Macaca fascicularis: one gene and its partners. The protein of the gene in region 4 purifies or fractionates together with the protein of the main gene of each other region. This does not show direct contact. Links are inferred from orthologs where the notes say so. Each region holds a gene or a part of one and is shown on either strand. Other genes may lie near its edges. The genes, in order: POLR3E, POLR1E, POLR3K, POLR2L, POLR3D, MED19 and POLR3F.

The links.
Region 1: the proteins of POLR2L (region 4) and POLR3E purify together in Homo sapiens (affinity purification with mass spectrometry; 4 studies listed by BioGRID and IntAct, with this or other methods). This does not show direct contact. The link is inferred for Macaca fascicularis from reciprocal best matches to the Homo sapiens genes POLR2L and POLR3E.
Region 2: the proteins of POLR2L (region 4) and POLR1E purify together in Homo sapiens (affinity purification with mass spectrometry; 3 studies listed by BioGRID and IntAct, with this or other methods). This does not show direct contact. The link is inferred for Macaca fascicularis from reciprocal best matches to the Homo sapiens genes POLR2L and POLR1E.
Region 3: the proteins of POLR2L (region 4) and POLR3K purify together in Homo sapiens (affinity purification with mass spectrometry; 3 studies listed by BioGRID and IntAct, with this or other methods). This does not show direct contact. The link is inferred for Macaca fascicularis from reciprocal best matches to the Homo sapiens genes POLR2L and POLR3K.
Region 5: the proteins of POLR2L (region 4) and POLR3D purify together in Homo sapiens (affinity purification with mass spectrometry; 3 studies listed by BioGRID and IntAct, counting the BioPlex papers as one, with this or other methods). This does not show direct contact. The link is inferred for Macaca fascicularis from reciprocal best matches to the Homo sapiens genes POLR2L and POLR3D.
Region 6: the proteins of POLR2L (region 4) and MED19 purify together in Homo sapiens (affinity purification with mass spectrometry; 3 studies listed by BioGRID and IntAct, with this or other methods). This does not show direct contact. The link is inferred for Macaca fascicularis from reciprocal best matches to the Homo sapiens genes POLR2L and MED19.
Region 7: the proteins of POLR2L (region 4) and POLR3F purify together in Homo sapiens (co-immunoprecipitation; 3 studies listed by BioGRID and IntAct, with this or other methods). This does not show direct contact. The link is inferred for Macaca fascicularis from reciprocal best matches to the Homo sapiens genes POLR2L and POLR3F.

The regions. Positions count from the first base shown.
Region 1 is NC_088394.1:21,283,755-21,287,979, forward strand, and holds the start of POLR3E (DNA-directed RNA polymerase III subunit RPC5), read left to right. Parts: upstream 1-1,388; 5' UTR 1,389-1,506; intron 1,507-2,855; 5' UTR 2,856-2,951; intron 2,952-4,196; exon of another isoform or gene 4,197-4,225. UniProt on the Homo sapiens protein: DNA-dependent RNA polymerase catalyzes the transcription of DNA into RNA using the four ribonucleoside triphosphates as substrates.
Region 2 is NC_088389.1:61,840,616-61,844,924, forward strand, and holds the start of POLR1E (DNA-directed RNA polymerase I subunit RPA49), read right to left. Parts: upstream 2,818-4,309; 5' UTR 2,716-2,817; coding exon 2,640-2,715; intron 2,141-2,639; exon of another isoform or gene 2,070-2,140; coding exon 1,966-2,069; intron 868-1,965; coding exon 791-867; intron 1-790. UniProt on the Homo sapiens protein: Component of RNA polymerase I (Pol I), a DNA-dependent RNA polymerase which synthesizes ribosomal RNA precursors using the four ribonucleoside triphosphates as substrates.
Region 3 is NC_088394.1:781,824-786,172, reverse strand, and holds the start of POLR3K (DNA-directed RNA polymerase III subunit RPC10), read left to right. Parts: upstream 1-1,501; 5' UTR 1,502-1,553; coding exon 1,554-1,664; intron 1,665-4,085; coding exon 4,086-4,173; intron 4,174-4,349. Other genes in the region: SNRNP25 (U11/U12 small nuclear ribonucleoprotein 25 kDa protein), read right to left, coding at 1,084-1,227. UniProt on the Homo sapiens protein: Core component of RNA polymerase III (Pol III) which synthesizes small non-coding RNAs using the four ribonucleoside triphosphates as substrates. Can mediate Pol I proofreading of the nascent RNA transcript.
Region 4 is NC_088388.1:742,475-746,741, forward strand, and holds POLR2L (DNA-directed RNA polymerases I, II, and III subunit RPABC5), read right to left. Parts: upstream 2,817-4,267; 5' UTR 2,796-2,816; coding exon 2,701-2,795; intron 802-2,700; coding exon 693-801; 3' UTR 525-692; downstream 1-524. UniProt on the Homo sapiens protein: DNA-dependent RNA polymerase catalyzes the transcription of DNA into RNA using the four ribonucleoside triphosphates as substrates.
Region 5 is NC_088382.1:25,316,038-25,320,217, forward strand, and holds the start of POLR3D (DNA-directed RNA polymerase III subunit RPC4), read left to right. Parts: upstream 1-1,322; 5' UTR 1,323-1,407; exon of another isoform or gene 1,408-1,444; intron 1,445-1,670; 5' UTR 1,671-1,675; coding exon 1,676-1,840; intron 1,841-3,439; coding exon 3,440-3,483; intron 3,484-4,068; coding exon 4,069-4,180. UniProt on the Homo sapiens protein: DNA-dependent RNA polymerase catalyzes the transcription of DNA into RNA using the four ribonucleoside triphosphates as substrates.
Region 6 is NC_088388.1:15,893,016-15,897,029, forward strand, and holds the start of MED19 (mediator of RNA polymerase II transcription subunit 19), read left to right. Parts: upstream 1-1,199; 5' UTR 1,200-1,232; coding exon 1,233-1,449; intron 1,450-4,014. Other genes in the region: TMX2 (thioredoxin-related transmembrane protein 2), read right to left, coding at 608-796. UniProt on the Homo sapiens protein: Component of the Mediator complex, a coactivator involved in the regulated transcription of nearly all RNA polymerase II-dependent genes.
Region 7 is NC_088384.1:68,804,010-68,807,574, reverse strand, and holds part of POLR3F (DNA-directed RNA polymerase III subunit RPC6), read left to right. Parts: intron 1-226; coding exon 227-370; intron 371-582; coding exon 583-690; intron 691-2,123; coding exon 2,124-2,315; intron 2,316-3,565. UniProt on the Homo sapiens protein: DNA-dependent RNA polymerase catalyzes the transcription of DNA into RNA using the four ribonucleoside triphosphates as substrates.

The DNA of each region.
Region 1 (4,225 bases), on a different chromosome or scaffold from region 4:
AAGAAAAGAAAAAAAGCCACAATAATGATAGTCATTAATTTAATGCCAGGTGGTGGCACTATGGATGATGATTTTTTTTCTTTGTAATTTTTGTACATTTTTGTACAAAAGATATATAGTGTTTTAGTCCATTTTCTGTTGCTTATAACAGAATACCTGAAACTGGGTAATCTGTAAAGAAAAGGAAGTTACTTATTACAGTTATGGAGGCTGATAAGTCCAAGCGCAAGAGTGTGCATCTGACGAGGGCCTTCTTGCTGGTGGGGTACCCCTGCAGAGTCCTCAGGCAGTACAAGCCATGATATGGAGGAGGTGCTGAGCTGTTCACTTGCTGGCTCAGGTCTAGCACTTATAAAGCTCCCACTTATAAAGCCATCAGTCCCCCTCCCAAGATAACCTATTAATCCATTAACCCATGAATCCATGAATAGATTAATCCACTCATGAGGGCTCCACCCTCATGATCTAATCACCTCTTAAAGGGCCCACCACACAATACTGCCACATTGGGGATTAAATTTCCAACACATGAAATTTGGGGGACACATTCAAACCATAGTACATATTAAACTGATAATAATGGTTACTTAACCTCTGCGGAGGGGCCTAGGATGCGAGTCAAGAGTCAAAGAGCATTTGTACCTTATCTGCAAAGTTTAAATATTTTACAATAATTCGTGTGTTATTTGTGTAAGTAAAAATTTAAACACATAATTTCTCAGAGACAACTGCCCAGACCAGCCCCCGGGTTTGGCCGTCAGATCCCCTAGGGCGTGTTTCTGATCAGATCGATTTCTTCTCCCGGAGACACGCAATCCGGGTCGTATGGATTACTTGTGAGTTAACCAGGGGTCTCCAGGGTAACCATCCATCTCAGAGTACAGTTTCTAAAAATGAGTTTTGCTCTAATACCTATTCGGAACAAACCTGGGTCTAAAAACTGGAGCAAGTGTTTATTTTCCAGCACACGGCTTTTTAAAATAATTCTATAGGGATCAGCTTGAACACACATTAAACAAAAAAACCTCAGCGAAAACGCCTCGCGATTTCCAGATGAAATGCGAATGCAAAAGCATTAAGTAGCGTTCTGGCAAACCCTTTCTCCAGCTGGGTAGCGTGGCCGAGCGGTCTAAGGCGCTGGATTAAGGCTCCAGTCTCTTCGGGGGCGTGGGTTCGAATCCCACCGCTGCCAGGGTTGGTTTCTTTTTGTTCCCCGCTGCATACACGCCCGGCTGTTTTGCGCGTGCCATCAGCGCCCCCTGCTGCAGGGCGGGGCTCACGGCCTGCATGAATGGCGCGGCGGAGGGGGCGGAGCCGTGTGCGCCGGGGCGGGGCATTGTGGGTAAGAGGAAGCGCTGGGGCCGGCCCGCTCCCCCCACGTGTCCGCCGGAGTTTCTCCACCAGCAACATGGCCGCCGCCTGAGAGGAGAGCCGGGCCGCCGCCGCATCTGCAGCCCGCGGGTAACTGGGCGGTTGCCGCCGTCCGCGCTCGGCCCCCGCGGAGAGGTGAGTCCCATCTTGGCAGCGCCCGAGCTGGGGCTTGAGCCGGACCGCACTCATGACGTGGGTCTGGGCTAGATTCCCGAGTAGGCCAAGGAGGCCCGCGCCGCGCCGTGCTGAGGGGCTGGGGGCCTCTCGGGACTCGGGCGGGAGGAGGGGCAGCCGGCTCCAGGCCGACCCCGGACTCCTACTTCCCCGACCCGACACCTGGGAGTTGGGGAGGCCGCGGCCGACGCTGCCGGCGGTGACTCAGGGTCCTGCCGACCTGCCCCACCCGGGCCTGGGGGGCATCCTACGGAAGGAACACCTGTCCTCGGCGTCGGGTGTGGTGGCGGCTCGCGGCAGGGACTGCGTGGTGGGCGTGAGAAGGGGTCCTGACCACCCGCGAGGGAGCAGAAACCCATTGGACAGCGAGGCTCGGGGTCGGCGGCCCGCCCCGATGGGCAGGGAGGGCACCTGCGCCTGCCGGAGCCCCCTCTTCGCAGCTGAACCGGATTAGCTTCTGCCTGGCGAGGCCTGGGATTCCTCGTTCATTTATTCAGGCAACCATTCAGTGTTTACTGAGCCAACTCTGTGCTCCGGATACGGCCCTGACCATTCGGTCCGAGGAGGTGTCAGTAAACAAACAAGGTCGTTCCTTTGGGTTAGCTTTAGAATTCCTTGGGCTTGGAGGCGGAAAGAAGAGATCTTAGCGATCTCAACAGTTCCTCATCTGTGAAATGGGGATAATAGAAATTCCTACCTCATAGGGTTGTGGTGATGGCTCATTAGAAACCAGGTGACGCTCCCGCTTGCAGCGTTTTTACCCGCCTACATTGGCAGAAAACATGTTGTCAAGTAATAACGAACCTTCCCATAGGTTACGTTTATTACCGTCTTTACTCCTCCCCGCAGCTGTTTGTAGGTCGGTACTTAGTTTCCCTACTTTAGGGATGAAAATAGGGAAGAATACCAGACGTAGACAACTCAAGTAGGTCACAGATGCGAAGCAGCTGCGGTGGGATTTGAACCCGCGTAGTTTTGCTCCGGAGTTCAGGCTCTTACCCACTTAACCATACTGCCTTTTATCGAAGATCTGTGCAGTATACTGGTTAAGAATAAGAATAAGGATCTTTGACATCAACGAGACCCTAGTTTCTGTCCTGATTCCACCTCGGATGAGTTACTTCTCTCTCAACCTCAGTCTCCTCATTTCCAAATTGAAGATGATAAATCTCTATTAATAGGGCTAATGAGAAGATTAAATATAAAGTATTCTTTGTACTATATTGAGTGTCAACTTCGTGCCAGGCACTGTTCTAGGTATTGAGAGATCTAGCAGTGGATATATATTTTTTTTAATCTTCATTTCATAGTTGAGGAAACTGAAGCACTGAGAAGCCTTCATGGAGCTTACATTCTATTGCAGAAGACAACACCTGAGCAAATAGACCAGGTAGTTCCAGATTAAGGTGAGACCCATTAAGGAAAGAAAATAGAGATGTGGTAGTGCCTGGGAGGAAGTTGGGGGAGGCTTTTAAAATAGGGTGGCCAGGGAACCTATCCTCTCCTGCAGGCGGTGATGATACTTAATAAAAAGGAGCAACCTTGGAAATCCCTGTGGGGGAATAGATGATGTGCAAAGGACCTTGGGTGGACTGGGGCTTGGCTTGGTGGAGGCCCAGCAAGTGGCTACCAGCCTGGATGGTCAGGGGAAGTCAGAGACAAGATCATGTAGGGCCTTAGGCGGCTCATGGAAAGGAGTTTGGGTTTTGTTTTATGTGACAGTGACAGTTGACAGGTTTTAGGCAGGGAAATAATGATTTACATTTTTTTTTTTTTTAAGATGAAGTCTTGCTGTGTTACCCAGTCTCGAGTGCAGTGGCAAGATCTCAGCTCACTGCAACCTCTGCCTCCTGGGTTCAAACGATTCTTCTGCCTCAGCCTCCCAAGTAGCTGGGATTACAGGTGTGCATCACCACACCTGGCTGATTTTTGTATTTTTAGTGGAGACGGGGTTTCACCTTATTGGCCAGGCTGTTCTGGAACTCCTGACCTCAGGTGATCTGCCTGCCTCAGTTTCCTAAAGTGCTGGGATTACAGGCGTGAGCCAGCGTGCCTGGCCCCGCCCCGAATAGAGATAGAGTCTCACCCTGTGACTCAGGATGGAACACAGTGGTGTGATCATAGCTCACTGCAGCCTCAAACTCCTGGATTCAACCAGTCCTGCTGCCTCAACTTCCCAAGTCATTGGGACTGCAGGCCACGCTGGGCTAATTTTTTTTTTTTTTTTTTTTTAAAGAGAGACCGGGGGTCGGGGGGGGGTCTCACTATGTTGCTCAGGCTGGTCTTGAACTCCTGGTCTCAGGCAGTCCTTCCACCTAAGCCTCCCAAAGTGTTGGGATTACTGGCATGAGCCACCACGCCAGCCTTTCCAAGGACTCACTGTTGCTGGGAGACTTTGAGGCAGGTAGCCATAGGGAGACATGGATGAGTTCTTTTCACATTGCAGATTGAGATTTATTAGTGGGAAGTAAAATTGATTTAGTGGAATTGAAGCTAGCATTTTTTGTTTTGAATGAATGAAGTAGAAAACATCACTGCCTGACATATAGTAGAGACAGAGTTATATGAAACTTTGTTTCAGTTACGCAACTGTGTGTATGTTCTGGGTTATTTATATGAGATGAATTTCATGTTGTTTTTTTTTTCCCCAGAGACGGAGCCTTGCTCTGTCACCCAGGCT
Region 2 (4,309 bases), on a different chromosome or scaffold from region 4:
CACATTCGGGCTCGCTGCTGTACTGTAATGGAAAACTCTTTTGGGGTGTAGGAATCTAGAATTACACTAGAATTTATGGCACAACAGTTTTATGGAGGCAAAATCAAGTAAACGGGAAGGAGACCAGTTGGAACTAGGGCATCGTTGAGAGGGGAGAGTGCAGGGTTAGTAGTTCTCAGCACCTATACAGCAATCTGACCTCTATTGGAGTATGGTCCAGTAAGGCTCAGAAAGGGCCTGGTTTGTAGTTCATTGTTGGGTACCATCACAGGGCCCTGTCTGCATCATGCCAGCCCCCGAGAGTGATATAGTTGAGGTTGGACAATCTTCATTGTACAGACTAGGGGTCAGTGATGGGCAGAGTTACCCAGCCACTCAGTCAAACAGCAGCACAGAGGGATGGGAATCCCAGGCTTCTCTTTCCCAGCCCAGAGCCTTCAACACTACCAAGTTCTTTACCTGTCGTTAGTTCCCAGGTAAACTTCACGCAAGCTTTGACCTACTAGTCACACATTCCAAATTAATGGAGAGAACTGCCTTTTGGAATAAGACAGCTATAAACAAACAAGGTTACAAATGAGGTTTTCAGGAAATTCAAGTTATCTTTCCTTTCCAGCAATGTCTACAGGTGAGGGGAAGGGCTCTATGTCTAATAGGAACACAGGAATCACCTAGTAAACCGCTCTAGATGGCTCCTACTGCCCTTAAGACAGACAGGAAACAGCAGTGCCAGTGCTGCCACCACTCCCAACCCCATCACCCTTCCCGCTGTCCCTTCCCCTGCCATTACCTGCACAAAGTGTTGCATTTGAGGGCTCCAGTACCAAAATTGTTTCCCACATAGGAAAGTCTATCTGTTTCAGCTGCCTAAAATGCAGAGAGGAGAAACTCCATTTACAACCAATGTTGAAAGGTATTAAGCATCATCTCTCTTTTCTACATTTGCTGAGGCTTTTGAATCCAGACTCACAATGGATTAGAACTAGTTCATCTCTGGCAGATGATCCAGCTCCACTCTCTCTAAGGGAATATGGGGTGTCCCTGCGGGGGAAGCAAGACAACTTTTGGAAGAGAAGCCTCAGATGGTGCTAGCTTCTAATGGTATGAAAAGCTCTTGGGGGAATTCTATCACAAGACTTGAGAGAGAGGCCCTGGGCTTCTAGCACTTACAGGCATGCAACAAAGTGATTCTGTAAGCAATCTCTCTTTGGCCCAAAGTCCAAGCCCTTTTTCACCTTCTTTGCCCATCTCTCCCATGGCTGTTCTTTGTATACTCTCAGGACCATGGCTGATTGACTCCCCAATCATAAGCAAGCTTTCCTGCTTCTCTGCATTTGTCCTCGCTATCCTTTTCACTTAGAACACCAAACCTTGACTGCCAAACCCTCGTTCCAGCCTTCAAGGCTCAGCTCCAACATGACCTCCCCAAGGAAGGCATTCTGGCAGAGACCTCTCCTCCCACTGAGCTCACTCTGCCCTGTAATCTTCCGCACGTGGCCTCAGAGCTTTGTGTAAAAGTGTCCCTCACAGCCAGTTCTCATCTCTCTAGAGCAGAGGTTCTCAATCCAGGGAAATCCACTCTGGTGCTACTGGCATCCAGTGAGTAGAGACTAGGGATGCTGCCCCCACAGCAAAGAATTATTGGCCCCAAAAGTCAATAGTCCTGAGGTTAAGAAACCCTGTTCTAGAGTATGAACTCCGAGTGGGGCTAGGCCTGATTTGGCTGTTTTCCTAGAAGCTTGCAGCACAGGGATACAGAGGAGGTTCCATAAATGCTTGTTGAAAGAATAAATGAATGAAAGATGGAGCCTGTCCCCACATCCCAAGTTGCTGGGCATCAGAGTTCTTCAAAGGTCCATTTGCTACTACTCTCCTGTTTCTCCCCTCACTCCCTCCCACACCACCCACTCCCAGGCGCCTTCTGAGCCCTGCAGAGTGGAGGCAGCTGGCAACTGCTTCACTTACCAGGATCCGTTGATTCCTCTTCCTGGGGTTGGTGGAATCTTTGTTCTCATACAAGGTAAAGCGCATGTTGCCCGGACTCTGTAGCTTCCCGTTGGAGAACTGGACTGTAAGAGTGCAGCCCAAGAATCAGGTGAGAGCAGAAGGCCACACAATGTACGGTGGGACTAGACTGTCACTGGGAGGGAGTGAGTGTCAGAATGGGGATGGCAAGGAAGCTCGGGTCCTGACCCAAAGGGAACTAGAGGAGATCCGGGGCCAGCTGAGAAGAGGGGTTAGGGAGGTGGGAGAACCCTGGGGAGGGGCTGTAACAAGGGGGAATGTCTCGCGGAAGGAGGCTGACAGCAGACGCCTGGTCCACACCTAAAGTGACAGAAGGAACCCCTGCCCAGTGAAGAGAGGGAAACGGGGGAGGTGGGAGACCTGGTGGGTGAGGGGACAGCAGGGTCCTGGACACAGCCCTGGGGAGCGGGTGAGTGGGATGTCCCAATCCGGCTGGGCGGTAGTGACAGAAAGACGGACAGGGCAGCCCCGACCGAGCCCAGGAGAGTGGTGGAGACTACAGGCGTCCTGGCCCCGCTGGGGAGAAGCCTAACGGAGTGCGAGGGGACAGCTGAGATACCGAGACGGAAGGGGGGAGGGTTAGAGGAGCACTGCTCCAGCTCTGCAGTCTTTACCCAGTACAGCTCTCTGGCTCCCGTCGGGCGCCCCACAATACTGCCACCTCGCACTCGGCAACACCTCCGCCGCCATCTCGCCTGTTTGTCCGCCAAGTACAACAGTTAAGACAGCAGTAGCCACAAACCCGCTTTTAAACACGCGGGAGCCTACGCCGCGCGGCAGGCCGGAAAAGGCGTGGCCCCAGCCGGGCACCGCCCACAGTGCGCGAGCCGCGTGTCCCCGCCCCCCGCGCGGAGAGGCGCGGTCTCCGCCCACAAGGTGCCACATACTCGCGCGACTGGCCGAGGCGCAGCACGTGATTAGCTCAGCGCTCGCCTGCGCTCTGGGTGTTGTAGGTCCAGAGCCTGAGGCATCCTACGGCTTCAGCCTAAGCTTGCTGTGAGCCTTCTTCCGGCTCAGCACAGTCTAGAGAGAGTGTCGTCTCTCTCCTACCGTGACAAACACGTCTTCCCAAGACCTGAAAGACCAAGTTCAAATTTAGAATTCTCTAACAGGAACTCCTTGAGCCCCAACTAAATGTGGCCGCTGGCAAAAAGCCGCCCCTCTCTAGGACCTCCCACCCACCCACGTGGACATCCAGTTCTAGGTACAAGCTTTGTCCACAGTCCGACAAACAGCGCCCCGCAATGCGCTGTGGCGTGCACACATGTGGCCCGATCAACCCTGAGGTGATGGAACAGAAGCCCAACCAACCCCAGGGCCTTTGGCCAGGAGATTCTGGACTGAAATAGAAGAGGGAGTCCGAGCTGATAGACATGTCCCTTTTTCACTGCGGATTCAACCATTCTTCTGCACGGGGAGTTTTCAGAGCACAAAAAAGGCAAAAGCAGGACCTTTAAGCATGGACCCTGGCCGAGGCCCCCTTTGCCCAAAGATGCGTGCTATTGAAGGGCAAGAACTCAGGCTGACTCCCCTCTGTCTTCCAAATCACCTTCTTTCAGGACTCTTTTCCTTCCACACATCCTCACACCCTCCTCCAACACCCAGAATCCTAGGAATAATCTTAAAGCCTGCAACTTGTCACTCTTTTCTAATTACCCAGTCTCAAACTTAAAGAAACACTGCAAGAACTTTTTTTGCCCTGAACCATTTAGAGTAAGCTGTCAACCTGATACCCTTTCACCCCGAAGACTATAGTATTTCCTACAGACAAGGACGTTCCCTAAATAACAACACAGCCATCAGCAAATTGCCAGGCGCAGAGGCAGAGGCAGTTCTATCCCTTGATTCTAGGAATTTGAGACCAGGCTGGGCAACATAACAAGACCCTGTCTCTACAAAAAAATAATCATTAGTCACGTGTGGTGGCACACGCCTGTCGTCCCAGCTACTCAGGAGGCTGAGGTGGGAGGATTGCTTGAGCCTAGGAGGCAAAGGCTGCAGTGAGCTGTGATGGTGCCATTGCACTGTAGCCTGGGCGACCAAAAAAAAAAAAAAAAAAAAATTAAACAGAAAACAATCAGGAAATTAACACTGGTACATTACTACCATGTAATCCTCACATCCCATTTAAGTTTACCATTGTCCCAGCGTTTGTTGTTTGTTTGTTTTTTGAGATAGGGTCTCAGTCTGTCACCCAGGCTGGAGTGCAGTGTTGCAAACAGGGCTCACTGCAGCCTTGACCTTCCGGGCGCAAGTGATCCTCTCACCACAACCTCCGAGCTAA
Region 3 (4,349 bases), on a different chromosome or scaffold from region 4:
GGTCCTGTCAGTTCACCCTGAGTATCCCTGATCATCAGGACCCAGGCCAGGGCCCAGGACTGAGTAAGGCAGGTGTACACAAAAAACGGTAATAACAAATATTTTAATACAACATTTAAGAAATACAAGGCAATTAAAATATCCATGATGAGCAAAATATAAAACATTTAAAACTGGCCGGGTGCGGTGGTCCACGCCTGTAATCCCAGCACTTGGGAGGCCGAGGCCAGCGGATCACTAGATCAGGAGATTGAGACCATCCTGGCCAACATGGTGAAACCCCGTCTCCACTAAAATACAAAAAATTAGCCGGGCGTTGTGCCGTGTTCCTGTAGTGAACCTGGGAGTGGGAGGTTGCAGTGAGCCAAGATCGCACCACTACACTCCAGCCTGGCGACAAATCAAGACTCAGTCTCAAATAAATAAAAAGTATCGTGCCAAAGCATATTGACGCTTGAGGCAAATGGAACTAAGTTTTTTCGTTTATCGTAGGGTTTTTTTTTTTTTTTTTTTTTTTTTTGCATCACCTTTGACTTTTAAAGCTATTACAGGCCGAGTGGGTGGCTCACACCTATAATCCCAGCTTTTTGGGAGGCTGAGGTAGGAGAATCGCCTGAGCCCAGGAGTTTGACACCAGCCTGGGCAACATAGTGGGACTCCCTCTGTACAAAAAATTTAAAAATTAGCCGGGTGTGGTGGCGCGCATCTGTGGTCCCAATTACTCCGGAGGCTGAGGTGGGAGGATGGCTTGAGCTCAGGAGGTGCAGGCTGCAGTGAGCCAAGATCGCTCCACTGCACTCCAGCCTGGGCGACAGAGCAAGACCCTGTCCCCCCAGCCCCCTAAATACAATTACATTAAAATTTCATTTAATGTCACTCACTAATGAGGGTTTTGGTTCCTCTTTAAACTTCGCGCCGCAGGCGAGTGTGCCTGGCCAAGGTAAAGACCCTTGTTTACGCCCAGAGGCGCCTTCCTCAGCCTTGGGCCGCAGCCTCCCACCAGCACCTTCAGAGGCTGCGCGCGCCCGGACGCCCGGCCCCCGGGGAACGACTCCCGCCCCCCTGGCCCCCGCCAGCACACACCTGGATCGGCAGATCGCAGAGCAGCGGGTCCTGCACCACCATAGCCAGACCCTCCTGGAACACGTCCATGGCCTCGGAGTGCGGCAGCGCCTCTTCTTCGTCCTCATCTTCCTCTTGCGCCTCGGACCCACCCGCGGCCTCCATCTCCTCCAGGGCAGCACCTCTCAGCCGGTCTCTGCCGGCACTTCCAGTACGCACTAGGGAGGCCAAGCGCGCACGCGCAGGAACTGCGGCCGGTCCCAGCGAGGCCGCCCAGCCATTGGTGCGCCGAGGGGTGGGGCGGCTGCAGTGACCAATGACAAGTGCGAGACAGCCAGCAGCAGGGCTGGGAGCGCAGAATCGCCCTGTCTATTGGTTGGTGGGCGGGGCGAGGCGGCCGCCAGGACCAATGTAAGCTCGAGGCGGGCCGCGCGTCGGCGCTGAGCGGCAGTGTGAGCTGCCGGTGGTTGGCGCCTGCGGAGTTCGAGACCATGCTGCTATTCTGCCCCGGCTGCGGGAACGGGCTGATCGTGGAGGAGGGACAACGCTGCCACCGCTTCGCCTGCAACACGTGCCCCTACGTGCACAACATCACCCGCAAGGTGGGACCCGAAGGCCGGCGCTGGGCCGCGGGCGCCTCTCGCAGGCCTTCCCCTTCCTCCGACTGCGGCGCCATCGCCGCCAGCCCCGGCGTCTGCCTCTGTCCGCTCTTTCTCGCTCCCCCTTCCGGTCTGCAGCAGATCTGTGGGCTCTTTCTGTGGGCTCCAGCACACTCAGAAAGCCCCACCGTTTCCCGCCTCCTTGGGTTCCTGCTCCCACGCTTGCGCCCTCCTCTGCGTTCACAGCAGCGGCCACGGCGATTCCCTTAAAGCTGAGGCACGTAGGTCCGTGCTGTGCGCAGAAACCTTCGGCCGTTCCCCAGCTCGTGCAGACGAAAAGCTGGAATTCTTCCAGGGCCTACCATGTTCAGACACTGACCCCCTCCCCGACTTGCTTCTCCGATTTCAAGTCCTATTGCCCTTTGCCCCATCAACACCAGCCTCCTGGACGATCTCTCATTGTGCACATGGCGCTCGCAGGGCCTTTGCACTTACTGTTACTAACTTCGCTCTTCCCCTAGATAGCCACCTTACTCATTGGTCTTGTCTTTACCGTATTTTAAATTGCAGCCCCTCCGTCCAATGTATCCTCCTTCCCTTTGTAATTGTTTCCACAGGGCTTGTTACCTTCGAATACATTACGTAATGTATCGTGTGCTTTGTTTATTAATAGTAGGACCTGGCCGGGCGCCGTGGCTCACGCCTCTAATCCCAGCACTTTCGGAGGCCAAGGCGGGTGTATCACTTGAGGTTAGGAGTTCGAGACCAGCCTGACTGACATGATGAAACCCCATCTCTACTAAAAATACAAAAATTAGCCGGGCATGGTGGCAGGCGCCTGTAATCCCAGCTATTCGGGAGACCGAGGCAGGAGAATGGCTTGAACTTGGGCGGCGGAGGTTTCAGTGAGCCAAGATCGCGCCACTGCACTCCAGCCTGGGCAACAAGAGTGAAACTCCGTTTCAAAAAAAAGAAAAAAAAAGTAGGACCTAAGGTCTAGGAGGGCAGAGGTTTTCCGTTTTGTTCCCTTCTATGTTATATTCTGAACAACTAAAATGAAACCTAGAATATAGTAGGTGTTCAGTAAGCAGATGATGCATGCTTTATTATAACTTGTTGTTTTCCTTTGATAATACATATTTTCTTTTTACTTTTTAGAATACTTTTACTTTTTTTTTTTTTTTTGAGACGGAGTCTCCCTCTGTCGCCCAGGCTGGAGTGCAGTGGCGCCATCTCGGTTCACTGCAAGCTTCGCCTCCCGTGTTCACGCCATTCTCCTGCCTCAGCCTCCCTAGTAGCTGGGACTATAGGCGCCCACCACCACGCCCGGCTAATTTTTAATATTTTTAGTAGAGACAGGGTTTCACCGTGTTAGCCAGGATGGTCTCAATCTCCTGACCTTGTGATCCGCCCGCCTCGGCCTCCCAAAGTGCTGGGATTACAGGTGTGAGCCACCACGCCTGGCCAATTTTTTTGTGTTTTTAGTGGACAGGCTTTCCCCGTGTATTAGCCAGGATGGTCTCGATCTCCTGACCTTGTGATCCGCCTGCCTTGGCCTCCCAAAGTGCTGGGATTACAGGCGTGAGCCACCGTGCCCAGCTTTTTTTTTTTTTTTTTGAGACACAGTCTGGCTTTGCTTCCCAGGCTGGAGTGCAATGGTGCAATCTCGGCTCACTGCCACCTCTGCCTCCCGGGTTCAAACAATTCTTCTGCCTTAGCTTCCTGAGTAGCTGGGATTACAGGCTCCTGCCACCACCCCCCAGCTAATTTTTGTATTTTTGGTAAAGACGGGGTTTCACCACGGTGACCAGGCTGGTCTCGAACTCCTGACCTCAGGTGATCCACTTGCCTTGGTCTCCCAAAGTGCTGGGATTACAGGCATGAGCCACGACGTCTGGCCAGAATACCTTTATTTTTAGAAGTTAGAATATGTTGGTGCTACCGCCGGGCGCGGTGGCTCACGCCTGTAATCCCAGCACTTTGGGAGGCCGAGGCGGGCGGATCACAAGGTCAGGAGATCGAGACCACGGTGAAACCCCGTCTCTACTAAAAATACAAAAAATTAGCCGGGCGCGGTGGCGGGCGCCTGTAGTCCCAGCTACTCAGGAGGCTGAGGCAGGAGAATGGCGTAAACCCAGGAGGCGGAGCTTGCAGTGAGCCGAGATCGCGCCACTGCACTCCAGCCTGGGCGACAGAGCGAGACTCCGTCTCAAAAAACAAAACAAAACAAAACAAAAAAAAGAATATGTTGGTGCTACCTCAGTCTTAATGTTTGCATGCTACTACATTTTGTACTGTGTTGTGGGAGTTTGGAGTTGGAAACTGTGGGAAGAGTGAACTCTTATATAATCCTGAAATTCGAGGTTTGGCAGCCCAGGTTTGTGCTATGCAGTTACCTGGAGTCTGAAGTGTTGTTTTTGTTAGGTAACAAATCGGAAGTACCCAAAACTGAAAGAAGTGGATGATGTGCTTGGTGGAGCAGCTGCCTGGGAGAATGTTGACTCTACTGCAGGTAAGAGGGAACACTGTTTCTGTTGCTAAACTGGATAATTATGAGGCTGTTGATGCCACTGCATGGCAGAGTCTGTGATGTCATATAAATGATGTAGGTTTCTAAAAATAGAAATGGTTTTTGAATAATTTATTAGTATTTGTTACTGTTTAGTAATCTGTTACACAAGCAATATT
Region 4 (4,267 bases):
CACTGTCACCCAGGCTGGAGTGAGTGGCGCAATCTCGGCTCACTGCAAGCTCCCCCTCCCGGGTTCAAGCAGTTCTCCTGCCTCAGCCTCCCGAGTAGCTGGGACTACAGGCGCCCGGCACCTCGCCTGGCTGTTTTTTTTGTTTTGTATGTTTAGTAGAGACGGGGTTTCACCGTGTTAGCCAGCATGGCCTCAATCTCCTGACCTCGTGATCCACCCGCCTTGGCCTCCCAAAGTGCTGGGATTATAGGGGTGAGCCACCGTGCCTGGCCTAAATCTGGCTCTTCAGATTCCAAGAGAGAGAGTACAGGAGCCTCTGCTCAGTCTGAAGAGCACCCAGAAGGAGGGAACCTCAGCCCTGAGATGGAAGGCTCTCCTGGCAGCACCTCCTGCAGGGGTACCTGTGGAACAGGCTGGCCCCAGGGCTAGGAGAATTCATGGCCCAGTCGGCTTCCCTGGGCTGCCGCGGTGAAAGCTGGGCCTAGTCCTGGCCCCTGACATCCTAGTGAGGGCTGGGACCTTGGTAGTTCTGAAAGACCTTTACTGGATTGTTCCTTCCAGAGTGGGGGATGGGACACACACACGCTGTGGCGAGGCATTGCGCCAGCTCCTGGATGCCTCAGCCTTGTGAACTTGGGGCAGGATGCTCATGGCCCATGGTCAGCATGGCAGGTAGGCGGATTCCAGCCTGGTCACTTCTCCAGGGGTGCATAATTGAGCAGCTTCTCGATCAGGTCCACGTGGGCCAGCAGCATCCGGCGGCAGCAGTAGCGCTTCAGGCCCAGGGCGTCCAGCGCATCCCTGTGTCAAGCGAGGGGAGGAACAGAGAGGCCAGCTGAGTTCTCCACGGTCTGCACAGGCCTGGAGCCCACATCCAGGCCGCCTCTCACTGCCTGCTGGCCTCACTCCCCTGCTACCGGCAAGGCGAACACATTCACCTGGATGAGAAGTAGAGACCTAGCGGTATGATCCTGGCTGGAGTAACCTGGCAATGCCCAGATCCCTGGGTGGAGCGTGAGGAGCCTTCTCTCCCACCTACTCTGGCTGTACATATGTGTGTCTAACATATGTAAGAAATATAAATGAAACGAAAACTAGAGGTAATTGGGGGAGCATAGAAAACCAAGGCCACCGAGGTCCTGATGCGCAGCTCCCCTCATCCCGCACCAGCCACAGCAGGGTAGCTCTCCAGGGGCCTGCCCTTAGCTGGTTCATCCCCCACCCCAGAGCAAGCCCTACTCTGCCACTGTGGCGTCTTTTCTCACCTCTGCTTCCTTCAATCAGGGAGAGACTGCTTCTCCAGGGAGCCACCTCTCCCATTTCCCAAGCCAATTAGAAGCTTTAATTTCCCTGGGACCAAGGTCCAGTCACCATCAATACTTCCAGAAAACTCCCACACTGATGGCTCCAATGTGCAGAGAGAGAAGCTTGGGAAAGGGGAGGCCACATGGGAGGCCCCTGCAGTTCATATCCCTGGGAAAGGGTCTGGACAGGCCACCAGCCACTCACTCTGGCAGCCCACTCGCTTTACTCATTCGTCCAGCAAGCTGCACTGAGAGCCTATGGCAGGCTGGCACACACGAGCCTGGGGTTTCACATGTGACCAGGACTCAGCAGGCAAGGGTCAGACTCCAGCAGGGGCACCAAGACTCAGGCACGGTGGTGACAGCAGCACTGAGGGACAAGCACAGGAGAAGGATGCCTCCCCCACAAAGCCCGATGATGAGGGTGGTCAGCAAGTCTGCCCTGCATTTCTTTTTCTGTGTGTGTGTGTGTGTGTGCGTGACACGGAGTTTCACTCTCTCATCCAGGCTGGAGTGCAGTGGCGTGATCTCGGCTCACTGAAATCTTCACCTGCCTCCCAGCCTCAAGCGATTCTCTCGCCTCAGCCTTCCAAGTAGCTGGGACCACAGGTGTGCACCACCAAGTCCGGGGAATTAAAAAGATAAGAGGGCCAGGGGCGGTGGCTCACACCTGTCATCTCAGCACTCCAGGAGGCCGAGGCAGGTGGATCACCTGAGGTCAGGAGTTCGAGACCAGCCTGGCCAACATGGCGAACTCCTATCTCTACTAAAAATACAAAAATTAGCCGGGCGTGGACACGCCTGTAGTCCCGGCGACTGGGGAGAATTCCTGGAGCCCAGGAAGCAGAGGTTGCACTGAGCCGAGATCGCGCCGCTGCACTCCAGCCTGGGCGACAGAGCGAGACTCCGTCCCCCCCAAAAAAAAAAAAGAAAAAATTTCTGGAGATCAGGGTCTCCCCAGGTTGTCCAGGCTGGTCTCGACCTCCTGGGCTCAAGCAAGCCTCTCGCCTCGGCCTCCCAAACTTCTGGGATTACAGGCGTGAGCCGCCGCGCCCGCCTGTCCTGCAGCGAGGTTTGCAGGACATGGGGTGGGTCTGGGAGCAGAGACGAGAGATTAGGACGGAGACCAAGGGCTTTACTGCGGGTGACAAGACGCCTGCCACCCGCCAGGCCACCTAGAATCCCCAGGACACCACTGGTTTGAAGCCCAACTCCGCTCTCTCCCCAGACTTCAGGGGACAATGTTCTCCCGAAAGCAGATCACAGAGCTGGGCCGGAGTGGCCGGGTATGAAGCTGCTCATGGAGCGCCGGCCCCAGGCAGCGCTGCGCCTCCCGCCCCGGCCCGCACCCCAGGGCGGACTCAGCCCCCAGCCCCGGCCCCAGCCCGCGCCTCACCCCTCAGTGTACTCGGCCTGCAGCAGCCCCAGGTAGGCCTCCCACTTGTTGCCGACGATCTTGCCGCAAGTGAAACACCGTACAGGAATGATCATGGCGGCGGCGCGTCCCAGACTGCCCGGCCCGGTCCGGCCGCACGGGAAGCACTCCCCCCAGGCCCCGCCCCGGGCGCGTCCACTATCGCGGGGGGACCGGCTCCGCTCGTTCTCCGCTGCCCCAGCCGTTCATACACTGGCCCCGGCGCAGCTGGCCGCAATTTCCGCCGCCATGGGGATTCCCCATGCGGCCCGGGGCTCCTGGGCCTGCACGGCCGCGGCAGCAACAGACGACACACCCCCGCCCACCATCTTGGTGCGTCCCGGAGCTACGGCGTCTGAGCAGGGCCGAAAGCCGCGGTGGCGGTTCGCGTTTCTCGTGTCCGCTTGACTGACAGCTGCGCGGAGGGAGCGGACGAAGCGAGCGGGAGGCGGCGGCGCAGGTAGAGCGCCCGGGGGGTCGTGGGGGCGTGCGGCCAGGGTCTCGCGGCCCGAGGTGTCCGACCGGGAGCGGCTGGAGCCGGACGCGAGCGGGGCGCGCGAGTTCGAGCCTAGAGCCGACACGCAGCAACAAGTGGGGTCCGGCGCGGGGGCTTGGGGAGAGGGCGGGCGCGGACCGGGGCGGGTCTTCCTGCTGCCCCTCTTGGCCCCGCCGGGTAGTGGGTCCCTCCGCCTCCGCCTCTACTCGCGGGGTGTCCGGGGCTCTCGGCGCCGAGTTCGGGGGTCCCATTCTGGACGCGGCCCAGCCCCTAGGAGCGCCGTCCTGGCCTCGGCCGCGCAGTTACGGCCCCCGCCGGCTGCTCCCCGCCCCGGCCTCCTGTCCGCGTTCTTTCCGCTCCTTCCCAGGAAGGGGGTCGGGGTGCGCCCTCCCCGGTCCCGGCTCTGCTGGGCTGCTGGCCGTCCCGACGCTGAGACGCGCCTCTGAGCACGGGGAGAGGGGGCCCGGGAGGGAGGTCGGGGAGGGCGTCGTGGAAGAGGTGCTCTTTGAATTGAACCTTGAAGACCGCGGCACAGGGGACCCCTGGGCAGACTCCCGGAGGCTGCACTGGCAGGACCCGCTGAAGGCCGCAGCTCTGCCTTGCCCTGGAGCTCAGGGCCTACGGAGGACGAGGGAGGGGGAGCCCGTGTCTCTCGGATGGAGTGCGGGGGGGCTGGCACCAGCACCCTCCTTGCTGTGCCCCTAGGGTGGGGGTGAGGAAATGGGGGGTCGGTGTGCAGTAGGAGGCAAAGAAGACTCCTTGGAGGTGCCAGGTAGGCTGTGGGGGGGTGGGTGGGCTGCAAAGTGGCACCCATGGGGGGGCTCTGGGCTGGGGCTTCCAGCTGGGGTGGGACCTGTGCTGGGTTCCAGGCATCAGCTGCCGCTTTCTCAGGGCAATGCTGGGTCTGCCTTAGTTGCAGGGGAGGAGGATGAAGGGTTTTCTGGATCCAGAGTGGTGCTGGCCAGATCCACTGCACACTTGGGATTTCTGCTCCCAACCTGGCCAGGGCCCTGGGCAGCTTCCCCAGTGGCATTTGTCATACCCCACCCAGCC
Region 5 (4,180 bases), on a different chromosome or scaffold from region 4:
AAATTGAAAAAAAGCACGTCGAATGTACCAGATATTCACTACAGCATTATTTAAAACAGGGAAAAAAGAAACAATCAGGGAAATACTTAAATCATGATACAGCCACTGGAGAACTATGCAGTCTTTGATGCCGTAACAGAGAAATGTTATTTGAAAAAGCAGGATACAGGCCAGGCGCAGTGGCTGACGCCTGTAACCCCAGCACATTGGGAGGCCGAGGCGGGTGGCATCACTCGAGCTCAGGAGTTCAAGACCAGTGTGAGCAACACAGTGAAATCCCGTCTCTACCAAAAATACAAAAAAAAAAAAAAAAGAAAAAAGAAAAAGAAAAAGAAAAAAGAAAAAAAAAATTAGCCGGGCGTGGTGGCATGTATTTAGAGTCCCAGCTACTTGGGAGGCTGAGGTGGGAGCATGGCTTGAGGCTGGGAGGCAGAGGTTGCAGTATGCAGAAACCTCGCCTCAAAAAAAGAAAAGAAAAAGGATACGAAATTGTGATACAACTCTGTGAAGACTACTAGACACATTACAAAATTTTTAATAGTAGTACTCTACGTGGCATTCTGGTAGAAACGATTTCCTTTCCTCAAACTCCCCGTAATAATGTTTTTATACGGTCTGGGGGGATGGGAGATAACATTAAACGACACTTTTTATATCACAAACGCTGGAGTCAATAAAAGTTCTTTAAATTCCTCCAGCAGTAGAGCAAACTTGGTATTCCGATTCTGTCCAGGCTTTGACCAAGAGCGCACCCGAGGGCCACCGCCTTCGTGATCCCAAGCGGGTGTGACTGGGCACCAGTTGGTCCACTGCGGCTGTTCCAACGCTGCCCTCACAGCCTCACCCCAGGACTCCACCAGGAGCACAGGGAAGGGGTCCCCGAGAGTGGGCGAGGTCGCTGCCCGGAGGTAGTGACCACTCCAAGGTCACCATGGAGAACCCGCAGACAGGGCTCGGCACGGCCCAAGACTCCCCGACTCTAAGTCCAGGTCTCGCTCTCTGTGCCGCGCCCCTCGTCCCATCCCGAGCAGCTACCCCCAAGCTCCCAGGGGCTCCGCCGAGGCGAAGCCTCACATTGCGGCTTGGCGGCCGACAAGACCCGCGACCCTGATCTCGGCACCTCCACGCCACCGCCCGGGGGCCAAGACCCCCGAGCACCGCCACATAGCGTAGCCCAGACCGGTTCCCTCATCCTTTTTCGCCCTCTCAACCCAGCTTTTCCCGACTCCGGGAAGAACCGGGAAGAGAAGGCGGAGGGGAGCGAAGCGCCGCCTGATAAATACTGTGGCCCAGTCCCGCCCCCGAAACGTCACATCCGGCCCGTGCCAAGATGGCAGCGCCCAGGCGGTGCCACGCAGACTTCCGCCCGGTGCGGAGACCTAAAGCTGGCAGCGGGTCGCGTCGCAGGTGAAGTGGTGACGCGCGGTGTGGAGCCGCGGCCCGGGTGCGTCCCTGCCTGGTTCCTGGGCGGGGTTCCTGGAGAGAGGGCGTGTCGCGAGCCAAAGGCTCTCACCTGGGTGGTCCCGGGAATCTCGCCACGTGGGAGGGGAGGAGCTGAGAGGCCACTGGAGGGACGCACCGACTGGGGGACCGGAAAGCAAGGGGGTTGGGTTCCGCCAGGGTCCGCGTGTCAGTCCACTCTGGTAATCTCGTCCCCCCTTCTCTCCCAGGCAACATGTCGGAAGGAAACGCCGCCGGCGAGCCCAGCACTCCGGGAGGGCCCCGACCCCTCCTGACTGGGGCCCGGGGGCTCATCGGGCGGCGGCCGGCGCCTCCCCTCACCCCCGGCCGCCTTCCCTCCATCCGTTCCAGGGACCTCACCCTCGGGGGAGTCAAGAAGGTATCCAACGGCGCGTTTCTAAAGAAACTCAACTACCTTGAATTCCAAGCCCCGGCATTCAACTGATGTTTGTGTAGGGCCTACTATGTGTCAGGAGTGTCGTTGGGCCTCAAGCCTACCCCTCTTTAAATTCTAGGGAGCCTGTCCTATCTTCAAATCTAGGTACTGAGTACAAAATGTTGAAATGAGTCCCAGAGGTGGTTGAAAGACAGAGAATCCTAATAAGTTAAAGTCGTTCAAAAGTAATTTGAACAGTGTTTATTTACTCTTATTGTGTGTTTGGACATTTTTAAGAAACCCATGAAAGCCAGGCAGGCATAAACTTCACAGTCTTAGAGCGTTCAGAATTCACCATCTCAGTGTGCAAACTTGTTATCTAGAGTATCATGAATCCTAGGCATGGCATTCGAGGCTCTGTGGGCTGTCCCATGTGTATATGACTGTGGATGTCAAGAGTAGCCCAGAAAGGGGTGGTGTCAGGATGACAGAAGAATAAAGCAGGTTTTTGGGTTTTTTTTTTGAGACGAAGTCTCGCCCTAGTCCCCCAAACTGGAGTGTAATGGCATGATCTTGGCTCACTGCAACCTCTGCCTCCCGGGTTTGAGTGATTCTCCTGCCTCAGCCTCCTGAGTAGCTGGGATTACAGGTGCCCGCCACCATGTCCAGCTGATTTTTGTATTTTTAGTAGACACAAGGTTTCACCATGTTGGCCAGGCTGTTCTTGAACCCCTGACCTTGTGATCCACCCACCTCGGCCTCCCAAAGTGCTGGGATTACAGGCGTGAGCCACCGCTCCCGGCCAAATAAAGCAGTTTTTTTTGTTTGTTTGTTTTGTTTTTAACAGAGTCTCTTTCTGTCGCCCAGGCTGTAGCACAGAGGCACCATCTCAGCTCACTGCAACCTCCACCTCCTGGGGTTCAAGCGATTCTCCTCCCTCAGCCTCCCGAGTAGCTGGGATTACAGAGGCCTGCCACCGCACCTGGCTAATTTTTGTAGTTTTTAGTAGAGACGGGGTTTCACCATCTTGGCCAGGCTGATCTTGAACTCCTGACCTCATGATCCACCTGCCTTGGCCTCCCAAAGTGCTGCGATTACAGGCGTGAGCCACCACGCCTGGACATAAAGCAGTCTTTAGAAACCTAACTTTGCCTTGGAAAATATGGAAAAACACTGCCAACAGTGATTGAGAGTATTGGCAGATCTGTGGCCTTCCCTACTTAGGCCTTGCTGCTAGAGATGTTCCCCCATGATACTGACTGGTCTCTATAGCAGTTTGAAGATAAGAGGTGAGACCAGAGAAATTCCTTTGCTTTTAGAAGTCCCAGAGGACCTTCTTTCAGGATCTTCTTTCCTAAGGCTGCTGGTTAAAAATGGTTTTTGGTGCCCCTTTCTTCTATGCATAACTCCACTGCCACCACACCATGACGTTCCTCCTTTTCAGGCACACGTGTATCTAGAAAACTGACAGCACTGTGGAATGTGCCAAAGAGAGTCATGGTGGCCGTGGTCTGTAGAAGATGCCCGTTGGGAGTTTTTATTTTCCTCTGTACTTTGGGATCAGGACCTAACACATCAGTGACTCCTGTATTTTGCTTTCAGAAAACCTTCACCCCAAATATCATCAGTCGGAAGATCAAGGAAGAGTAAGTAGCTAGTCCTTCTGAATACTTGCCCCTTATTTACTTGCTCTGAATTTGGGGCTTTGGGGAGAAATAAGTAGGTTTGTGGCTCCAAAATTTAAATTTATATCTTTAGTTCTTTTCACTAGTGATTTTCAACCCTGGCTCCTAGGTGATTCTAATGTTTAAGCTTTAAAAAAAAAAAATACTGGTGTCTAGGGTTCCATCTCTAGAAATTGTGATTTAACTTGTTGGCAGTAGAATGGAGTGATTCTCTTTGATGGCCCGAGTTGAGAGCCAATAGTTTAAACAAAGATGTATCACGCTTTCCCTGAAGTTCCTTTGCATTTCTGCCTTCCTGCTTTCAGTCCCAATGCAAACAAAAATCTACATTTTTGGACAAGAACGTAAAGTAAAGCAAACTGAAAAAATCCTGCCTCATCAAGGAAGTGAGAAAAGTGCTAGAATTAGGATTGGATTCTGCTTCTCATGGTGTAATTATTGGCTCAAACTCTCCGCTGTCTTGGAGTGAAGTGGTATGGGAGAGTAAGGCCAGTTTTTGGAGACACAGTGAGTGAGTGGTTTCCCTTAATCCATTCTTTTTTCCAGGCCCAAGGAAGAAGTAACTGTCAAGAAGGAGAAGCGTGAAAGGGACAGAGACCGACAGCGAGAGGGGCATGGACGAGGACGAGGCCGCCCAGAAGTGATCCAGTCTCACTCC
Region 6 (4,014 bases), about 15 Mb from region 4:
TACAGTAGCCCCAAAATTTTATCCACTTTCGCATCCTCAGGATCAAGCAGAGTGCCTAGAGTGTACACTCTAGAAATGTTGATTGAATTAAGAAACGGCTGACAGTGTGTGCAGGTAGTGTGGCCACAAGAATAGTTTCAAGTCCCAGGCACTCATTAGTTGCATGACCTGGGGCAAGTCGCCTAAATATACCAAGATCCATTCCTTCACCAATGAAACAGGACTACTACTACTTGCCTTCCCTACCTTACTGGCTCCTCAGGAGGCTTTACATAATGAGCGGCACTGTAAGATGCTATACACGTATATGTACAGTTTTGACAGGGCTGTTTCTTAGTCTAAATGGTGAAATGGAAAGAAACCTGGACTCAACAGTCAGAAGCTGTTGGGCCGTTGTACAGGGCTACGACTAACAGGTTCCGTTTTCCCATATTAAACACAAAGTTTAGTCTCGACGATGTTTCGGACTCTGCACTTTACAGTCTGTTAAATCCGCTACAGGCTCGGAACCTCAGGTGTCCTCAGAAAGGTAAACCCCAGGGTTCCCAGATGCACCTGCAAGGGCAGGGACAGTCAAGGTCGCGGTACTGAGACGCGGGACGCTCACCCAGTCAAAGTCACACGGGTTACCGTCTTCGCGTTGGGTGGGCAAACCGTCGCAGAGTGGCGGCAGTTTCCTCACGAGTAGGAAGGCAGCAGAGAGCAGGGCCGACAGAAGGTAGTAAGGTTGGGCAAGCCATCGTGAAAGTCGCGGCACCGAATACACCAGAGCAATTAGAGGAGCCAAGACCGCCATCTTTTCGGCCGCAAGGGCCACTGCTCACCGGCGTCGTAGGTCCGGCCCCGCCTCCCCCACCATAGCGACTGCTATTGGGCTACATCTCAAACGTACGGCCTCTAAACCCGGATGTAGTTCTGTCAACGCTGTGGTATGTCAGAACCCAAAAAAGAACTTAATATCTTATTGGTTGGTCTAGCTGTCGCTTTATCAGCTTAAGTCATTTTATTGGACTGTAGCTAACGTAGCTAGCAGAAGACTCTAATAAGGTTAAATAGCACTTCCTGAACGTTCTCAGAGAGCGACGGAAGTAGTTGTTGAAACAAGGTAGGCGGTGCCTGAGGCATCCAATGACAAGCGGTTCCTTGAGAAAGAGGTGGGTATTCCTTAAAGGCATTGTCCAATGAAAATTACCAACGCCAGACACCGAGACAGCGCCGGGGCGGAGGGGACGATGGAGAATTTCACGGCGCTGTTCGGGGCTCAGGCTGACCCACCACCGCCCCCAACCGCACTAGGCTTCGGACCAGGAAAGCCTCCACCCCCGCCACCGCCTCCTCCGGGCGGGGGACCCGGCACGGCTCCGCCTCCCACCGCGGCCACGGCCCCTCCCGGCGCGGACAAGTCAGGAGCTGGCTGTGGCCCTTTTTACCTCATGAGGGAACTGCCAGGTGAGTACTCGGCCTTGCCAAAGCCAGCCAATCAAATCTTAGAGAGGAGGTGTTGGGCGTGGCTCTCAGCCGGCTAACGGAGGTGCGAGGTAACCTAGGCAACGCATACCCGGACTGTGGAGCCCTAAGTCGAAAGGGCTATTAGGATTCACAAGCAGAGGGATGAGTTGAATTCAACCAAAGGGATGAATGGCGGGGAGCGGGGTGGTGCATCTCCGTGACTGTCTTTTGCACCATGTCCAGGCTGTGTTCCTGACACTGGTTTATGTCTCCCTAAAAAATTATCTAGGGCTGGGCGCAGTGGCTCACGCCTGTAATCCCAACACTCTGGGAGACGGAGGCGGGCGAATCACCTCAGGTCAGGAGTTCGAGACCAGCCTGGCCAACATGATGCAACTCTGTCTGTACTAAAAACACAAAAATTACTTGGGCGTGGTGGCGTATGCCTTTAATTCCAGCTACTCGGAACCCGGGAGGCGGAGGTTGCATTGAGCCGAGATTGCTCCACTGCACTCCAGCCTGGGCGATAGAATGAGACTCCGTCTCAAAACAAAAACAAACAAACAAAAAATCAAGAGTTTGAGTTTGGAACTCGAGAGGCCTGATTTAATATCTTTGGGGACCTAAAGTTTTAGTTACAAGTCTCCCACAGACTTGCTGTGGGTTTGGGGCAAGTTGCCACTCTTCCAAGATTTCTGCGTTTCCTGGTGTCATCAAAGAAGGGGTAAGAATCGAACCAAACTCTTTTCATTCAAAAAATTATTTTGTTGAGTACCTATGTACCAAGCACTTTTCTAAATGCTGGAGATACAGTTGTGAACGAGACTGACAAGATGCTTGCCTTTTTTGGAATGTACATTTCAGTGTAGGAGGCATTGTAAACAAGATAATGTCAGAGAGTGGTTAATGCTAGGAAGAGAAAACATTATAAAAAATTGAAGGTGGCCAGGCGCATTGCTCACGCCTGTAATCCCAGCGCTTGGGTAGGCTGAGGCAGGAGGATCCCTTGAGCCCAGGAGTTTGAGACCAGCCTGGGCAACATGGCGAGACCCAGTCTCTACAAAACATACAAGATTAGCCGGCCGTGGTAGTGCTTGCCTGTAGCCCCAGCTACTCAGGAGACTAAGGGAGGAGAATTGCTTGAACACAGGAGGTCCAGGCTGCAGTGAACCAAGATTGTGCCACTGCACTCCAGCCTGGGCAACAGATGAGACCCTGTCTCTTAAAAAAAAAATTGAGGGGCAGAACTACTTTAGCTAGAGTGGCCAGAGATGCTCTCTCCACATAGCTAAAATTTGAACTAAAATGTAAGCATAGACAAAGGGCCAGCCAGCTATGGACAGGAGGGAGAGATAATTCTAGATACAGGAAATGAGGTCAGAAACCCTGATGTGAGAAAAAGCTTAGAATATCTGAGGGACAGAAAATCAGTTGGACTCCAGTGAAGTGAACAAAAGGAAAGAGTGTTAGGAGAGAGATGAAGCTGGGAGAGTTAGGCAGAGGCTTTTATAAAGCAATAAAGGCATTTAGATTGTAAATACAAAAGGAAGCCATTTAAAACAATTTTTTATAGAGACAAGGTCTCACTGTGTCACCCAGGCTGGACTGCAGTGGTACAGTCATAGCTCACTGTAACCTCCAATTCCTAGGCGCATGCTGTCCTCCCACCTCAGCCTCCCAAGTAGCTAGGACTGCAGGCATGTGCCACCACAGTTGGCTAACTTAAAAATTTTTTGTAAAGACTGGGTCTTACTGTGTTGCCCAAGCTGGTCTTGAACTCCTGGCCAATGACAGTCCTCCCACCTTGGCCACCCAAAGTGCTAGGATTATAGGCCTGAGCCACTGTGCCCAGCCAAGGAAAGCCATTTTAACATAGGAACTTGGTCAAATGTACTTATTTAGAGAAGTAAATGGATACAGGGTGTTAGACGTAGAGCTGACAGGGTTGAAAAGCTGAATATAGGGCCAGGTGCTGTGGCTAACGCCAGTAATCCCAGCACTTTGGGAGGCTGAGGTGGGAGGACTGCTTGAGCCCAAAAGTTTGAGACCAGCCTGGGCAATATAATGAGACCCCATCTCTACAAAAAATAAAAGTAAATTAGCTAGGGATAGCAGCGTACACCTGTAGTCTCAGCTACTTAGGAAGCTGAGGTGGTAGAATCACTTGAGCCCAGGAAGTTGAGGCTGCAGTGAGCTGTGATTGTGCCACTGTGCTCCAGCTTAGATGATAGAGGAAGAAGCTGTCTCAGTTAAAAATACATATTGTATATAGAAGTGAAGGAGATAGAAGAATTGATGCCTTTTTAAGTTTTCAGCTTGAATAATTGGGTGTATGGGTATGAGACTTGGAAGATGAGGAAGGAACAAGTTTGAAGAGGTGGAAATCGAGTTGTTTTGGACATGTTTGGTCTCCAAGATGCTGCCTTTCTCTCTCTTTTTTTTTTTTTTTTTTTTCTCCTGAGACAGAGTTTTGCTCTTGTTGCGCAGGCTGGAGTGCAATGGCGCAATCTCGGCTCACTGAAACCTCCGCCTCCCAGGTTCAGGCGATTCTCCTGCCTCAGCCTC
Region 7 (3,565 bases), on a different chromosome or scaffold from region 4:
CATTTAGTTAGTAATGATTTATGAATATTAGTTCATTAATTGTGACAAGTGTACCACACTAATCCAAGACGTTAAAAATAGGTGAGACAATGTGGAGCATATAGGAGCTCTGTGTACTATCCTTGCAATAATTCTGTACGTCTTAAACTGTTCCAAAATATAGGTGTTTTTCTTTTCGTTTTTGGAAATTGTTATAAACACATGAACTGTGCATGTTCTTTCCTAGGCCTCAAAAAAGAAGGTGTACATGCTCTATAACCTGCAGCCGGACCGGTCTGTGACTGGCGGAGCCTGGTATAGTGACCAGGATTTTGAATCTGAGTTTGTAGAGGTGCTGAACCAACAGTGTTTTAAATTCCTACAATCCAAGGTGAGGTATGATTGAAGAAACATCACTGCAAACCCTCTTGTAAAAAGTTTTTCATAGAGAATTTTAATCTATCATATTTTATAGGAATTAAAAACCTGAAATTGGTAATTTTTACTAAACTAAATATGTTCTGCTGTTGGTTTCAGTATAAAGTGTATTCAGAAAACACACCAATATTCTTGCTTAGATTTCTTATGTTTCAATCCTTATAGGCAGAAACTGCACGAGAAAGCAAACAGAACCCAATGATACAAAGAAATAGTTCATTTGCCTCATCACATGAAGTGTGGAAATATATCTGTGAATTGGGAATCAGTAAGGTCAGAACTGAATTTCATCTTATTTTTTAAAACATATTCTTCATCACATACAGTATATTCCAAACATGTATTTGACCCAGACTGTTTTTTGGGGGATGATAGCTACGAACATTCTCCAGAATCCACTTTGGGAAAATACTGTCCTGTATCTTAAGCAAAGGCAGTCGCTGCCATTGGGCATTGTCTGAACTGACACTAAGCTTGGGACACTGATGCTTTTTAAATTTTTTTTGGAAATAGGGTCTCATTTTGTTGCCCAGGCTGGTTTTAAACTATTGGACTCAACTGATCCTCCTGCGTTGGCCTCCCAAAGTGCCACTGTACCTTAGCCTTTTGAAATTCTTTTTTTTAAGGACACTGATGCTTTTCACAGTGAAGAAGTGGCCATTTGGACATTTCATTTTAATTTCCTGGGCCTCAGATTTCTCATTTATAAAAACTAGGAACTGGCCGGGCGCGGTGGCTCAAGCCTGTAATCCCAGCACTTTGGGAGGCCGAGACAGGCGGATCACGAGGTCAGGAGATCGAGACCATCCTGGCTGACACGGTGAAACCCCGTCTCTACTTTAAAAATACAAAAAAACTAGCCGGGCGAGGTGGCGGGCGCCTGTACTCCCAGCTACTCGAGAGGCTGAGGCAGGAGAATGGCGTGAACCCAGGAGGCGGAGCTTGCAGTGAGCTGAGATCCGGCCACTGCACTCCAGCCTGGGCGGCAGAGCGAGACTCCGTCTCAAAAAATAAAAATAAAAATAAAAAAATAAAAACTAGGAACTTGGACTATTTGATGTTTAAAGTGCCTTTCTGCTCAAGCATTTTATAAATCTCCAATAAATTCCTGCTAAAGAAATGCTACTTTTTTATAAGATTTCTAGATTTTACTTAAGAAGTAAAAAATACCAGAAAGTGTCAAACTCAGCATGCGCTTAGAGTTCTGTCCCTGGCATTTCAGTGGTTTGTGCTAACTTGGACTATTGTTCCTCCTCTTTGTGCTTCAAATTACTCCACCCCAGCATAATGTTTCTCCCATTTCACAGAAGAATTGTGACCCTTTACTGTTTTATTTATTTGTTTGAGATGGAGTTTGGCTCTTGTTGCCCAGGCTGGAGTGCAGTGGTGTGATCTCAGCTCACTGCAACCTCCGCCTCCCATGTTCAAACCATTCTCTTGCCTCAGCCTCCCGAGTAGGTGGGATTACAAATGCCCACCACCACACCTAGCTAATTTTTGTATTTTTAGTAAAGATGGGGTTTTGCCACATTGGCTAGGCTGCTCTCAAACTGCTGACCTCAGGTGATCCACCTGCCTCGGCCTCCCAAAGTGCTGGGATTACAGGCGTGAGCCACCGCGCCCAGCAACCGTTTACTGTTTTAACACCCTCCAAGTGGATATCTCCCTGTCCTATTTGTGTCCTTTCTGATGTATCCCTTTTTTAGGTAGAGTTATCCATGGAGGACATTGAAACCATCCTGAATACACTCATTTATGATGGAAAAGTGGAGATGACGATCATCGCTGCAAAAGAAGGCACAGTTGGCAGTGTAGACGGACACATGAAACTGTACAGGGCAGTCAGTCCAATCATCCCTCCCACGGGTTTGGTCCGGGCACCCTGTGGACTCTGCCCGGTGAGTTACAGTGGCTTCACTTTACACTTGACTGCCCCTGGGTGCAAGTGCCACATTAAGAAACAGAGCAAGCACACCCCAGTTTTCTCAGACTCTTAGGGTTGACCAAGAGCTATTCAAACCTCTGTGAAACCTTGATGAACAGACCTTTAATGAACAAATCATTGCTTTACATTCTTTTTTTTTTTTTTTTTTGAGATGGAGTCTCACTCTATCGCCTAGGCTGGAGTGCAGTGGCACGATCTTGACTCACTGCAACCTCCACCTCCCAAGTTCAAGCGGCTCTCCTGCCTCAGCCTCCCGAGTATCTGGGATTACAGGCACCCGCCACCATGCCCAACTAATTTTTTGTGTTTTTAGTGGAGATGGGGTTTCACCATATTGGCCAGACTGGTCTTGAACTCCTGACCTCAGGTGATCCCCTCGGCCTCCCAAAGTGCTGAGATTACAGGCATGTGCCACCATATCCAGCCTCCTGCTTTACATTCTTTCTTGGAATAACCACATTAAGGATATTTGCGTTTTCTGCTCTTGGCCTTGAAATGGACACTTTTTGATGAGGGCTAATCATTTCACCTAAATAGGGCAGAAAATGAGATTTGTTGAGAACCTACCTTGGGCCAGGTGTGTCCTTGATGATTTCCATAGGTGGTCTCATTTAATCTTCCTTACCTTCTTGAAGCTCGTGGTGTTACTTCCCCTTAAAAGTGAGGGAGCTTAGGCTTAGGAAGACCTAGGGGCCTATAGCTTAGAAGTAACTGGGATTCAAACCCAGAGATCATGTCTTTCCCCTGCAGCATGCCCCAGCACTCCTCCTTCATTCGTTCCCAAATTTTATAAGTGCCAACTCTATGCTCTAGTCACTAAGGATACAAGAGAAAGTATAAGACACTGTTCCAGTCCTCATGGCATTTATAGTCATGAGCCTGCGTGTGTTTTATTTCATTATATCAGCCTTTGTCTATATGCCTAAGCTCTCTATGCCCTGGTTTCAATCTGTAGACAAAAGGCTAACATATTAGGAATTCTATTTTGCACCCTTCACAAAAAGGTAGCTAAACATGAAACATTCGGTAAATCAAAATCAAGTCATTCATATGTATAGGTCTCCCTGCCTGTTTTCCTGTGTTACCTGGTGATGACCTTTTGCCCAGCAGACAGGTGAGCATGGTCATCTTAATGCCACAGTAAAAGGCCTCTCTACTACTCCTAACTTGATGATCACAAAGCGGGCCCTATTATAGTATGCT